Pelodiscus sinensis: one gene and its partner. The protein of the gene in region 2 purifies or fractionates together with the protein of the main gene of each other region. This does not show direct contact. Links are inferred from orthologs where the notes say so. Each region holds a gene or a part of one and is shown on either strand. Other genes may lie near its edges.

Region 1 (8,035 bases), on a different chromosome or scaffold from region 2:
CCATGCGAGATTGCTCATTTTAGTAGCCTGGCTCTCTGCCTGGTACGGCTCCAGACCCCTGGGCTGTGTCTAGACTGGCCAGTTTTTCCGGAAAATCAGCCGCTTTTCCGGAAAAACTAGCCAGCTGTCTACACTGGCCGCTTGAATTTCCGCAAAAGCACTGACGTCCTACTGTAAGAAATCAGTGCTTCTGGCGGAAATACTATGCTGCTCCCGTTCAGGCGAAAGTCCCTTTTGCGCAAAGCTTTTGCGCAAAAGGGCCAGTGTAGACAGCTCAGATTTGTTTTCCGCAAAAAAGCCCCGTTCGCGAAAATGGCCATCGGGGCTTTTTTGCTGAAAAGTGCGTCTAGATTGGCACGGACGCTTTTCTGCAAAAAGTGCTTTTGTGGAAAAGGATCCGTGCCAATCTAGATGCTCTGTTCCGAAAATGCTTTTCACAGAAAACTTTTCCGTTAAAAGCATTTCCGGAAAATCATGCCAGTCTAGACGCAGCCCTGGTGTCTTTGTGTAGTTGGGATGAGCTACTCCGTGGATAGGAAAAAACAAGGCGTCTTGGGGCAGCTAGCTGGGTTAGTCTGTAACTTTAAAAACAACAAGTCGTCCCATGGCACCTTAGAGCACGGCTACTCAACACGCGGCCCTGTTTGTTTGTGGCCCGTGGTGCCGTTTGGAGCTTTTGAACATGGCCTTCACTAGGAACACGCTTCACAATGGCGAGTCAATAGAATGGTCTGTTGTTATGAGTTTTAGTAGTTACATTCCTGGATTGTCATTGCTCATTAAAAGTGCAGTCATATGAGTGGAAATCGGGTAAATATTGCGTTTTGTTAATATCAGCAGAACTGACTTAAATGGGGCCTGTGTGTGGTGTATCTTGCCTTAATCTTTGTATTCATGCCTGTCAGTGTGAAGGAAGCTATTTGTATATATTTGCATATATATTTACATGTATATGCAACTGCACTTAGGCTGTGGCTCTCGGGATGTACTGTGAGTATCATTGTGGTCTAGGGTTGCCAGATGGTGTCAACAAAAATACCGGACACGCTTGACATTACATCACAAGCTACATTCCATCTTATTTAGAAAATACCAGACATTTATATTTTCTCAATTTTTTCCCCAAAAAGAAAGCTCAAATACTGGACTGTCCGGTTCAAAACTGGACACTTGGCAACCCTGATTGAGTAGCCCTGCATTAGAGACTAACAAAAATACACAGTATCATGAGTTTCTTGGGTAAGACTAAAGTTGCCAGGTGCCTGGTTTTGAACCAGACAGTCCGGTATTTGAGGATTCTGTCCAAGAAAAAAAATAAGAAAATACCAGACACATACAATGTCTGGTAGTTTCTAATTCAGTAAGTTTTATGATTATTAGGAGTATCAGTATTATTGTTAGGAGCTCACACTGCGTGAGCGTGTCTACCAACCAGGCAGTACGCAACTATGTGGGGGGGGGGGGGGGGGAGCAGGGTTGGGGGGGAGGGAGGTAATCCTCGGGGCCGGACTCACTTGTGCTTCGCCAGGACCATGTGTGGGACAGGCAGCACCCCGGGATCTATGTGTGCCAGGGTCAGTCCCGCTCCCCGCTGGCCGATTCTCTCCCCCAGCTTGCCCCCCTGGCAAGCCCCGCTCCCCCTGACCCCCTCCCAGCCAGCCGCGCTTCCCATCAGCCAGTGTCCCCCCCCCCCCCCCCAGCCAGCCCTGCTGCTCCTGACCAGCCCTGCTTCCCACTGGCTGGTTCTCCCCACCTCCTGCTGATCTCCCCCTGCCAGCTCCACTCCCCCCAACCCTCTCCCAGCCAGACCTGCTTCCTACCAGCCAGTCTCCCCCCCATCTCTCCCAGCCAGCCCCGCTGCCCCTGCCCCTCCGCTCCCCGATCTCCCCCGGCCAGCCCCGCTGCCGCTGCCCCACCCCCACCAGCCCTGCTGCCCACGAGCTGGTTTCCCCCTCACACACATCCTCCCAGCCAGCCCCGCTCCCCTCCACTCCCAGCTGGTGTCCCGCCCCCCGCATCTGAGATCAAGTGTATCCGGTATTTTTTTTTAAGCCGCCTGGTAACCTGGTAAGACCCACTTCATCAGTTGAATTGGAGTGGCAATAACAGAATCCAAGATCTACATAACAGCAAAAGAAGTACCTGTCAATTGTAGGCCCCGGGTTAATGAAGCTAATTAAGCGGTCTGTGTGGTATGATGAAGGCTTAAAACATAAGCCAATGCAGGACAGGCCTGGCCCGAGGAGCTGAGGCCTAGCTAACAATGGACAAAACATGGCTAACATAAAGCAAAGTTAAACTGTGAGCAAGAGGCAGGCCCCAGCTCACAAAACTTGGCACAAACAGGGCTAAGAGTGCAAAACACTAATTGGTAATAGAACCAAGGGCAGAACAATAATTGGTACTGGTCATAAGTGGAACGCACAGAATATCACTAGCTTGTTAAAAAAGACTGTGGTACCCACTCCTCACAGACACAGACTTAGGTTCAAGAAAGGGTCTAAAATGACAGAATGATGGCTAGAGATGATCTAATAAAACCACGAGGTACAGGGTGATGGGTGGTATCTAAGTAGCATCAGAGGGTGGTAACCTGACAATGTCAGTAGTGAGGTGTGATTTGTTTGTATCTGTATATAAGGTGGTGTCTTGGGGGGACAGCCTTTGTATGACTGGGGGGGAGCAGTGGAAATTTCCCACTGATTGTGTCATGCCATTGTGGCAAGGACATGTGCATAGTGGTTCAGTAGAGTCTACTGACAACTGTTACTGTACTTCGCTCGACAATAAACCTGGCCTGGCACCTTCCATCCTTATCTGGTTTGTGGTGTTTGGGGGCCCTCTTGGGGTCTGCTGTGGTCATTGGGCCCACATCATTGAGCACACACACACAAGCAGTCTTCCGGTTACCATCATCGACAGAGCCAGAGACCTGTGAGGACACCACGGCAGTAAGTCCACCTAACTATAGGCTGGATGTGTCCCATTCATAGCTTTTGATGTGAAAACGAGGATGTCAAGGGCAGGGGAAATTGGCTTTGTAATGTGTTAACCAATTAATAGTGATAGAAATGTAGCCGTGTTAGTCTGGGGTAGCTGAAGCAAAATGCAGGACAATGTAGCACTTTAAAGACTAACAAGATGGTTTATTAGATGATGAGCTTTGATCTGAGGAAGTGGGTCTGGCCCACGAAAGCTCATCATCTAATAAACCATCTTGTTAGTCTTTAAAGTGCTACATTGTCCTGCATTTTGCTTTAACCAATTAATGTCTTTCTTCAAGCCCAGGGTTATAGTGTCAAAGTTGTAGATGAATTCCAGTTCTGTAGTTTCTCTCTGTAATTGGGTGGTGAAATTCCTTTGTAGAAGGATGGCTACTTTATGATTAAGTGGCCAGGTAGGTTACAGTGTTCCCCTAGGTTTATGTGTGTTACCATTTCTGATGTCTGATTTGTGTCCATTTGTCCTTCATCATAGAGCAGGGTGGGGAACCTAAAGCCTGGAAGCCAGATGCAGCCCCTGGCTTGTCTGGATCCGGCCCCTGAGGCTCAGTGCTCCTCTTTTCTTTTGCTGTGCTAGTACATATATATATAGCCCTCCTACCTTTGTGATTTCCATGCCATAGATCTGACAAAGTGGGTTTTTTTTTAACCCACAAAGGCTTATGCCCAAATAAATTGGATAATCTTTAAGGTGTGACAGGACCCCTCCTTGATATCGTAATGAGTTAGAGACTAGGAATGGCTATTCAGACCCATTCTGATGGTGTCAAATTTGCATATAAATTCCAGTTTGGGACATCTTGTTGTTTTTGCTGAAACAGACTAACATGGATACCGCTCTGTGGACAGGGGGCATGATTAGCTAGCTAGATGGATGGATGGGTGTGAAGGGGATACACGGATGGGTATGAAAGGGATAGATAGACGTGTATGGGGATAGACTGATTAGACTGGGGCCCTTCAGAGGATGAGCTATGGGTGAAAACCCATGGGTTGTGTCTACACTGGCATGAATTTCCGGAACTGCTTAAAACAGAATACTATTCCGTTTTCAGTTTTTCTGGAAAAGGAGCGTCTACATTGGCAGGCTGCTTTTCCGGAAAAGCCCTTTTTCCAGAAAAGCGTCTGTGGCCAATGTAGACGCGCTTTTCCGGAAAAGAGCCCCGATCGCCATTTTCGCGATCGGGGCTTTTTTCTGGAAAAGACTACTGGGCTGTCTACACTGGCCCTTTTCCGGAACAGTGTTCCAGAATAAGGACTTATGCCCGAGCAGGAGCAGAATAGTTTTTCCGGAATAGCAGCTGATTTTGTACAGTACAGCATCGTTGCTTTTCCGGAAATTCAAGGGCCAGTGTAGACAGTTCACAGCTTATTCCGGAAAAGCGGCTGATTTTCCGGAATAAGTGGCCCAGTGTAGACACAGCCATGCTGAACGTGAAGGCTGCTTCCTGGCCTGACCACTTTGCTGGGAGGAGAGGTAGAGAGCTGTGGGTGTAAATTGTTAGGGGGGTACAGCTGAGACCCACCAAACTCATGTCACAAATTGCTCCCAGACTGGACGTTGGCATGATGGCCCCATGAGATGCTGCCGTCTAGGCTTGTTTGCTGTGGGTTTCACACCCCCCGAGCCCCCGCCTCGCCATTCAAGGGTGTGTTTGTTGGGGGCGTGTTCTATAGAGATAAACGCCACTGTGCTGCTGCTGGCCCTTTAAAAGGTCCTACGTTCTGATGTCCCTTTGAGAAATTCCGTTGCGGCTGGCCCTTTAAGTCACAGCGGAATCGCTGCCGTAAAGAGAGAGAGACTCGGATCTTTATGTCCCCTCCGACCTCCCGTCTTGTTTTCTCTCCCAAGCTGGGAGACAAGCCACCGCAACCTGTTAGTCCCGCCCCCGTCTCCCTCTGATTGGCCGGAGCTCTGAGCGCGCCCTCTCATTGGTCCCGGTCCCTGCCAGGCGGAGGGAACCCTCAGCCTGAGGAGTGGTTGAGCAGGCGGAGCCAGAGGCGCTGGAAGTTGCCATGGCGGCGACGGGGGGATGGGACGCGGCTCCAGTCGGGGCGGGGGGCGCAGCGGCTGGTGGCGGCCAGTGAAGGAGAGGGCCATTCCCCGCCGCCGCAGAGCATCCTGGGTAAGGTACCCCCGCGCGGAGCCTGGGTAACTTGGCCGCAGCGCAGAGGATTCTGGGTAATGTAACCCCTGAGGAAAGGGATCTGGGTAACTTGGCCACCGAGCGGAGGATTCTGGGTAACGTGCCCCTGCGCAAAGGATTGTGGGTAACTTGGCCACAGAGCGGAGGATTCTGGGTAGCGTGTCATGCGCAAAGGATTGTGGGTAACTTGGCCAAAGAGTGGAGGATTCTGGGTAGCGTGCCATGTGCAAAGGATTGTGGGTAACTTGGCCACAGAGCGGAGGATTCTGGGTAGCGTGCCATGTGCAAAGGATTGTGGGTAACTTGACCACCGAGTGGAGGATTCTGGGTAGCATGCCATGCGCAAAGGATTGTGGGTAACTTGGCAAGAGAGCAGAGGATTCTGGGTAACATGCCTCTGTGCAAAGGATTGTGGGTAACTTGGCATCAGAGCAGAGGATTCTCAGTAACACATCCAAGGGTAGAAGGTTGTGGGTAACTTGGCCACAGAGCGGAGGATTCTGGGTAATATAGCCCTGCGCAAAGAATTGTGGGTAACTTGGCCAAAGAGTGGAGGATTCTGGGTAGCGTGCCATGTGCAAAGGATTGTGGGTAACTTGGCCACAGAGCAGAGGATTCTAGGTAACATGCCCCCAGGAAGAGGTTTGTGGGTAACTTGACTGCATGGTAGAGGTTTCTGGGTCGTGCAGTCCTCAGGCAGAAGGTGGTGGCTAATTTGGCTGCAGAACCAAAGGTTTCTGGGTAAATTAGCAGAGACTTCTGGGTAAGAATCGCTCTTCACCTCCACTTTGCTAACTGAGATTTCAGCATTTCGGTTACAAGACCCTGTCAGTGGTCACAGGCAGAGTTGAGCCCAGTGGATCTATGACTTGTTGAGGAATGGTGGGGGAACTGATGGGTAATGAGCAGAGTGGGGTTGGTTGTCAGCAGGTAGGTGACCATGTTCTAAGGCCTGGGAACTAAATGGACCTTTGCAGAAGGGGCTCGTGTGTGTCTGGAGCAGCATTGCCAGCAGGAATTGCCACCCATCTCTGCTGTCCAGCCGAATCCCACTCCTCCACTGTAATCACTAGGCGGCTCTCAGTTCAGTGCGGTGACTCTTTATTGTTACAGGGTCAGTCAGTGGCTAACGGAAGCCTCTGGTGTCTGTCAAAGAGCCAGTTTCAGTACTGTGCTATTATGGCCCACTGGTACAAAGGGATCTTGGCGATACCCCTGCCATGGACAGCTCCTGTGCCAGGCGAAAACCAACCACTGCACTGTGTCTGCTGCAGCACTGAGTCCAGGGGCCATTGCAATGTAGATTTAGGCCACAGGAGGGAGAGGAAGTGGTGGGGAGGAGTCATGTTTAGGATGGAAGGGTTGAGCTGCTTCTCCTCCATCTCAGGGCAGGGCTAAATACACCTTCCCCTCTGGGCACTTAAAGATAGAAGGGTAAAGAACGTCTCACGAAGGGACTTGTCATGGGTTTTATATTAGAGCTGAGCTAAATACTCAACTATTGCTAGAGACTTCATAGACCTCATCCATCCTAATACCCATAGTGCTGTTTAATTGCTAAGACGTAGGGGCCTTGGTGTTTCTGATTTGCCCATTATTTTCAAGGGAGACGTCCAATTTCATCATGAACTTTGAAGGCCTCGACCCTGGCCTTGCGGAGTACGCGCCCACTCTCCACCCAGCCCTGGATCCAGTCTTGGACCCTCACCTCAACCCCAGCCTGCTGCAGAATGTGGAGCTGGATCCAGAAGGGGTGCCGTTGGAGGGCATCCCGGTGCCGGAGTCAGTGCACATCATGGAAGGCATGTACTCAGAGCTGCACACCGTGGTCTCCGAGGTGGGAGTACCTGTCTCCACCTCGCATTTCGATCTGCACGAAGAGATGCTCTGGGTGGGGAACCACGGGGTAGGTGATATTTGGTGTTCCGTGTGGTTCCTTGGGGATGGGGTGGTTGGGTTTTGAATTCGTCATTTGTCTGCTCTGATTTATTGGGCTGTGAGGTTTTTGTTTCTTCAGTCGCTTACATGTGTCTTGGGTCATTTACTAATGAGGGAAATGACCAAAGGTGCCTTTTGGGGCTTGGGGATAAATGGGAGGATGAGAGACTCAAAAGAGAGGGGCTGACCTCTTTTCCCTTATGTTTGTCAGTGAGTGGATGAACCAGTAAGACAGATCCTTTGGTTATTGGTGTAGAATGTGGGATGTAGGACCAGAAGGCACCTTGTTAAATTCAGTCCCCTGCAATTGCAGGCCACCCCATCTTAAGAATCTTTGTAACAGAATAAACCAATGCTCATGTGGTCTGGAGTCTCTTCCTTCCTGTTGTACCAGAATTCATGTTTGGTCTGTCCTGTCCCATATACCTTTTGTCCTACAATAGGGATGTAATAGTGGAGTCGATTAACCGATTAACCAATACGCAAAAGCTTATTGGCTAATGCTATAGACTACATGCATCTTCCCCACTGTCCGCCAGTAGATTTTTTTAGCAGGCTGGCCAGCAGCCTGGCTTAGTCTTGGCTCACGCCAGGTCCGGCACCTACCCTTGCTACCGTTCTGCATTTAAAGTGTATTAGGAGCCAGACAGGCAGGCAGCCTGGCTCAGTTCCAGCTTGTGCCGGGTCTGGAAGCTCAGCTCCCTCCCGGACAGGGGCTGCTGCTGCCCTGTGTTGCTGCCTCTGTATCAGAGGCAGCAGCATGGGGTGACAGGCAGCTGGCCCACGAGGGGAGTTGGTTTTTAGACTGGCTCTCCTCGCGGACCAGCTCCCACCTGGTACCCCGTGCTGCTGCCTCTGATACAGAGGTAGCAACACGGAGTGACAGGGGTTCCTTAGGGGTTCCTGCCGGCCCCACCCTCAGGCACTATAGAATAGTCGACTAAGGAT
Region 2 (7,191 bases):
GGAAGAGTAACTTTGGAAAGATTTTATAAGAGGTAGGAGATGACAAAGTAATATTACTTGATGAGCAACTTTCAGTAATACTTGTCAGCACACCATTTTGAAATCACAATTCATGGATGAAAGTGGTTGTTCAAATGGAGGCTTATTAGATTTTAAAAATCACAATTATTGGGCAAGGGGAAAAAATTGGGAATTTGAGAAATTATGACAAGTTGTATCCATTACTATCCCACCTAGCACCCCTCACACATTTCTGAGAAAAGCAACAGATACAGAAAAAATTTATCACCCCAGTGATTTCTTAAACAATCCAGTATGATGTACAACAGCAACCAAAAACCAAAGGTTATCTCTGACTGACCTCATAACAAGGAAATATTTAATGTTAAGGATTTTAAAGTCGGTCATTTGAATAACTGTATCCAATAACAGATGCTGTCTTGTTCATTATTCTTAGTACACCAATAGTCATCTTATTTTAAGATATAGAACCAACTAAACCACTATTAGCAGCAATTATTGAGTTTTAACTAGCTTAATTAGTCCAATGGTGAAATTAAGTTTCAGTCTGGATTCCACTGAATATAAAATCAAATTAGTTTAAGATACAAGGAAAAAATATTTCCTCAATTTGTTTATAAGCAAAAATGGCCATGCTGTCTTCAAGAACACAAATCAAAGTTGGAAATTATATAAACTGAATATATGCAGTGCAATATTTTCGACAACAAAAACAAGTCTATATTGAAGCAGAGAATAAAGTTAATCCTAGAACCACATCAAAGTATCACTTAGCTAGATAATGGCACTCCTAAAGAAACTAAATACTGAAATTAAAAATATATAATTTAAGACAACAAAACTATATTAAATTATTTTATGAGGCATAAACTAGTTCATATTCTCATTTGTATATTTCAATGGGTCTCATGACTGGACCTTCTACTAACGTGCAATTACAGAATAAGGGAGGAGATTACCCTTCCACACAAACTTGCAAAATTAAACAAAGAGGATTCAAATACCTTTAATACATTCCCACTGTCTCTTGATATCCAAGGATAAACAACTGAACACTCAACCATAACACCACTGTTTTTGTTCCTGACTGATGCTCTTACTGAAGCTAATAAGAATAATTTGGCTTCATGAAAATATGAAAAAATAAGCTCACATATCTAGTATTCAGAGACTAAATTATGATGGTTACCATAATTTAATTGTATTGAAAAGACAGGGATCTAAAGAGCTCTTGCCATTTAACTGAAGCTGATCAAGTATGACGTTCAAGTTTCACCGACCTGGTTATGATCAAAAGCAGTCCTGGTGACCTCGCTTTATAATAGAGCTAATTATTTTATATTAGTGTACAAACACCACACATCAACTCACAGGTACATTATCAATTATTAAAAAGCAAACTCATAAGGCTCTTCCTGTAAACCTAGAAATGTTTAACTTCTATATATGAGACTTCAATTAAAGTAATACAGGTGACAAAAATTAGGCATGTGTAAAAAAAAGAGTCAGTATATGGAAATACCAAGTTTTTATTTATAAAGGTCTATTTTTCAACAAATATAATTTAGTGTTAAAATATATCTTAAAATAACTTAGAATAGTTTGTGTGGAAGTACCTTACAGTATTTGTTCCAGTGGCCCCATAATAAAAGAAAAATATAAGTACTATTTAAAAACACTATAACTGTTTTTTGAAAAATCCTGCCCTCCACTCCAGAGGGGAAAGTGTGACATGTACTAACGCAATGACTGAACAGGTATTTTTCAGCTCCCACTTCTACTGTTTGCAGATCAATATAAAACAATCACCCCCTTACCGTTTCTTCTTTTCCTTCAGGGGCTCTTTGGCAGCTTTCGACTCAGTCTCTCTGTAATGAAACAAGTGAATATTTCGTCTACCTTGTAGAGGTCTCTCTGACGTGCTTCTTGCTTATTTTAACGCCTTAAAAAAATACCCGTAAATTCACGACTCTGAATACGAAAAAAAAAATTCAATTCCCCCCTCCAACTAAAACAAAAAAACAACTCCCCCCACAACCTGCCACAGAAGAGAAGAAAAACAAGTCGACAAGAAAACAGTATCCAAGCAGAAGAGCAGAGGTTCGGTGTTATCCAGTCCCAGTGCAGGAGAAACAGGTTCAATTCCAAAACAAGCTTTAGCTTTCCAGTGGAGAAAGAAAGGAAGGAAAAGAATGTCCCTAGCTAGACTTTTGCACACGAATTCTTTTTTAAATACACGTTTGCTTTCGAGCAACAACAAAAACCCACGAAATTCACGATGTGAAGCGGATGGGGAGAGTTTATTTTTTGTGTTGATGGATTCTCAGTCCAGATGGAGGAGCATCTGAGTGTTCAAAAAGTGCAAATTAAAAGGAAAAGGGGGATCCCACAAACGAGCTGAAAGAGTCCCCCCTCCAAAAATGGAGCCACAGCCGGGGATCCAAGAGTAGGAACCCAGTGAGGAGGAGGATCCAATGAAGTCTCTCTCGCAAGGGGTCCTACAATGGGGGGCGGGGGTAGAGAAAGAGATCCAGCAGTCTCTCTTGCGGTGCTCCAAGCAGGAGGATCCAGCAGTGTCTCTCTCACAGGGGGATCCAATGGGGCCAGCAGAGCGTCTCACGTAGAATCCCGAGGAGAGGGACGATCCAGCGGGCTCTGCCGCAGAGACTCTCAGTGGGGCACAGGGGGTTCCCAGGAGTCTCGCGCCCCGGGGGGGGCAGGAGGCTGAAGGAGGCAGCAAAGTCTCCCAGGGGCTGCTGCAGCGCCTCTCAGGCAGTGTCTCTCTGCGGCGGAGGAGCTGGGCTGCAGCGTCTCGCGCGCGTTCTCTCTAGCAGGCAGGCGGCGCCGGCCCCCCGCTCTTCCTAGCTGCAGCCGCCGCCGTCGCCGTCCTCAGGAGCAGAGCTGCTGCCACCGCGGCCATTTTGTTGCTAACTGACAAGAACCCCACCAGGCAGCGCGAGAGCAAAGAGAGGCCCCCCCCTCCCCTCTCTGACCTCAAACAGGAAGCCTCGGCGTTACCCCCCTCTGATCACGTGACGGGGGAAGACAAACTGCGGCATGCAAATCAATTGGGTGGCAGAGCCAATCAGCGCCGCGACTCAGTGTCTGGTTGCTCTCCTCCTAGCGCGCGAGTGGGCCCGGTCTTCCCCCGCCTCTCGCACGGGCCGGGCGCGTCCATCTTGGCCAGTCCGCTCTGCGCGGGAAGGCTCGCGGCTCTCGCCCGCGCACCTGGGCACCTCTCGCACTGCACGTGCCAGATGCGCCCGCGCGGAGGGGGCTTCGAATGCGGCACCGACCTAACGCGCGCGCTCCTTCCAGAGCCCACTGCGCCGTGCAGAGCCTGACGCTTTGCACATCAGTGCCTGGAAGCGAAGCGAAAATTGCCCAGCTAGATGCTCCCTGCAAAATGCACCGGTGCAGCTGGCACGAGTCCAACCGCTATCCACACCGAACACCAGTGCAGTGAACAAGGCTGGAAAGAAAATCGTCAATAGAAAACGTGTGGCCGGGCTGCCCACGCAGCCCCCCAGTGGCAGCGCAAACTGTACCAGGGCCAATACCTATTTTGATTCGATGTTTGCTTTACGGCAGATGGACCTGAGTGTGTCTTACTCGGGCAAAACTCGGATCGGTTAAACTGCAGTTTTGACTGAGAAAGTACTGCAGGGCCAGGACCGATTTCTAAGTTTTTTGTGAATATAAATTGTACCTGCACCTGAATTGTGGGTACAAATCTGATCACTCCTGCCTTTAACTTCCTGCAGGCGCAAATCAGTGAGGTCAATATTCAGCAAACTACCTTTGATAAAAAACATTTCTTGACTACACACAACATGTGTACCTAAAACTGATTTAGTTAAAATAATACAACCCTCAAGTGAGGACTCTTATCAAATTGGTTTAAGTGCCTTATATCAATTTATCTTAAATCAATAAGGAATAGCTTGAAGTGATGAGACCTTATAGGTTGAAAAAATTACTGGTATGCGTCAAATAAAAACATTGTTTTAAATAAAAATACAATTTTAAACGAGTCTGAATTTAGTACTTCTAATACAAAGACAATACCTTAACAAGCAGGCAGAAAAACTGTCTTTGGGTAACACTAATTAGAGCACAGGTGTTACTTTGGCCACTGGAGGGAGCCCATATTTTTCCAGAATGCAACAGAAACAGAACTTCAAAGATAAAAAATAATAAAACATAAAATATCAGATCATTATAGTTAGAACAAAGTGTGTTCTCTAGGCCAGGACAATATCTATATGTATGCAAAATGTTATAAAAATTAGATTTATGTGTACCATTTTGCTTCATAAGCACCAGAAAGCAAAACGATTAAGAACAATTTCCCTGCATTTGGAATGTCAGTCTATACCTTTCACCAGGACTTTAAATTCACATTTTTTTTCTGAAGTAATGTGATGCTGACAGACACTTGACTACAGTATTGCTGCTCTTACACATCTAGGTCTAAGCTATTTACATTTCAAAGGCAAGTAGTTTGTACTAGTGTAGCTGAGTAGATAATTCAGAGGCACTTTCCTTAACTTTTCAGTTACACAAATGTAGGTCAACACCTGCAAACTGTTGTCCCCCAACGACTCATCAAAAGCAAGTAAGGAAATTGCCAAGCTGTTATTTTCAGAGTGGATTTTGTTCAACATAAGACAACTCCTCAATACAGTGCAAACAAAACAGACATGTACCTTTATCTAAGTAAAGTTTATAATAATAACAACATCATGTCACAAATTAATTTCTGTATATATAGAGTTGTCCTCTACTGAAAAATTTGTTTTAACTATATTAAAAGGTTACTTGCTAGGTCAAATTTGTCCCTAAACTTAGTTTACAAAGCCTATTGTAAAATCTAAGATCATAAGTATTTCCCTTGATTTTTAAAATTCAAAGTATCTTTTTAAGAAGTAAATATTCCCATGCATTTGTTTTCAACACAAACACTAAAGCAAGAGACAAAGATCATGAGATCCTGAAATTGAAACTTGACTAGACAGTGACTAAAAACAAAAGTGAAACTAACAAATGTACTTTCTTCAGTCTTGACCAAGCTAAAATAAATGCAAAAAGGATTATCTAAAATACACATACCCCCTACACAGAACCAATAATGAAAAGTAAATTTGATTTTTACACAAAATGTCCATATTTTAAAGATGCTATTTGTTATGATAAAAATGCATTTGCAATTATTTCAACTACCTGTAGTTTTCTATCATTAAATACAAAGATTTTTTCAATCCAAAAATATTTTCCCTGCTTTGGTTTCTCCTGGGTCAGCCACCACTCATCATGGTTGCGCACTCTTGGAAGTCAGGCAGAGGTGTTTCGCAGGTTTAAGAACCCCATTGACTTGGCATAATCTATCTGAAAGTTGATATATAAAACTGACACACAAAGGAGCCCTCCAAGCAATTTACACATGTGGGTAAAGGTTATAATACATCTGATTTTAAAACTGGATAAGCAGTTCCTATTTCCAGGAAATTTTCAATGTTTGGACTGTGGTAGGTCAGTAAGGCTATGTCTACACTGACAACTGAAAGACAAACTTTTATCATTCAGAGGTATAAAAAAAAACCCACTGAGGGTGTGTCCATACATCACCCTTACCTCGAAATAAAGCGCTATTCTGAAATGTTCCTTTACCCTCATGCAATGAGGTTTACAGAGACATCGGAATAGTGAGCTTGTTATATTTCAATACAACAGGCTTGCTCTTAAGACGCAGAATAGCTATTCCGGGATACCGGAGGTAAACTGTAAACGTAGCCTGAAAGACAAAAGTTTTGTCATGACAAGTGCCACGATGAATGGCATATTGTCAGCAGGAGAACAAATACTGCTCATTGGAGGCAGAAGTATTTTGACAGCAAAAAAACTGACAACAGCAACTACACTGCCCAACTTTTAGGCTATGTCTAGACTGCATCCCTCTGTTGGCAGAGGGATGCAAATCAAGCACATTGAAATTGCTAATGAAACAGGGATTTAAATATCCTGTGCTTCATTAGCATAAACATGGCCACTGCTTTTTTTCTAAATGGACCTTTTTTGAAAAAATGGCAGACTAGAAGCGGATCTGTTGAAAAATAAACCCTTTTTCGAAAGATCCTGTAAACCTCATTTTTTGAGAAATACAGGATCTTTCGAAAAAGGGTTTATTTTGACAGATCTAAAATCCATTTAGAAAAAAAGCAGCAGCCATGTTTATGCTAATGAAGCACAGGATATTTAAATTCCTGCTTCATTAGCAAGATGATAGGATGACTCAGCCAAAAATGTTCAGAGTATATTTTCATCCAGAAATGGAGGACACCACCACAACATCTCACCCAAACAAACATTTCTTCAGTATGTCTCACTGTGTTAACAAGTATTTTCTGGCTCACTGATCATAATTGTCACAACCTGGAGTACTGAATGTTTCCCAGGCTGCCTGTGTCTAAGAGACAGCCAATATACTTTTTAATTTCTGTGCATTTTATTTCTATGCTGAGCACAATTAAGGAAGTTTAACATGTACCAAGATTAATTATCTAAAACTACCTAGTATTTTCTTTGCCCTAGATGAAAAAGATGTTATATGGTCTGTAGACTTGTCAGTGTTTCACCTTTCAGGCATGTTTTCATTTTGGTTGGCAAGTGTTTTGAGCTTCGTAGAAAGCTTCATAGAATTATCTTTCACGACATAAATTTCCTTCATATTGAGGACCAATATGTATTATCTTTTGTGACAAACCCTGAATGGCCTTCATCAATTTCCAAGGCATCTATTGAAATGTAGCTCTTATGTTTTAGACAGACCCTGTTTTATCCTTTCCCGCCACTGTTCGAGTATTCTCTTTGTGTCACATGAGGAAGAACGGATGTGATCCAGTTTGAAGAGAATGGGGGTCATATGATGCTCATGTTTCAGTGCTGGAACATAAAGGCATTCCTATAGATGAGACTGAATTTGCAGTGAGATGTAATCTGTGTAAACCAAGGGTGGGCAATAATTTTTGGTAGGGAGCCACTTTAAGATTTTGGAAAATGGTCAAGGGCTGCACTTTTGTGTGGAGGATGAGTGGGGTCTAGGATGAAGGCTGGGTGCAGAAGGGTGCACAGGATGTAAAAGAGAAAAAGAAAAAAGTTGCAACAGCCATG

What was found. The genes of interacting proteins can lie anywhere in the genome.
Region 1: the proteins of TNRC6C (region 2) and PAN2 purify together in Homo sapiens (affinity purification with western blotting; 3 studies listed by BioGRID and IntAct, with this or other methods). This does not show direct contact. The link is inferred for Pelodiscus sinensis from reciprocal best matches to the Homo sapiens genes TNRC6C and PAN2.

The regions. Positions count from the first base shown.
Region 1 is NC_134729.1:3,832,281-3,840,315, forward strand, and holds the start of PAN2 (PAN2-PAN3 deadenylation complex catalytic subunit PAN2), read left to right. Parts: upstream 1-4,963; 5' UTR 4,964-5,128; intron 5,129-6,754; 5' UTR 6,755-6,773; coding exon 6,774-7,055; intron 7,056-8,035. UniProt on the Homo sapiens protein: Catalytic subunit of the poly(A)-nuclease (PAN) deadenylation complex, one of two cytoplasmic mRNA deadenylases involved in general and miRNA-mediated mRNA turnover.
Region 2 is NC_134730.1:7,746,159-7,753,349, reverse strand, and holds the start of TNRC6C (trinucleotide repeat-containing gene 6C protein), read right to left. Parts: upstream 3,043-7,191; 5' UTR 2,060-3,042; exon of another isoform or gene 1,890-2,059; 5' UTR 1,839-1,889; intron 1-1,838. UniProt on the Homo sapiens protein: Plays a role in RNA-mediated gene silencing by micro-RNAs (miRNAs). Required for miRNA-dependent translational repression of complementary mRNAs by argonaute family proteins.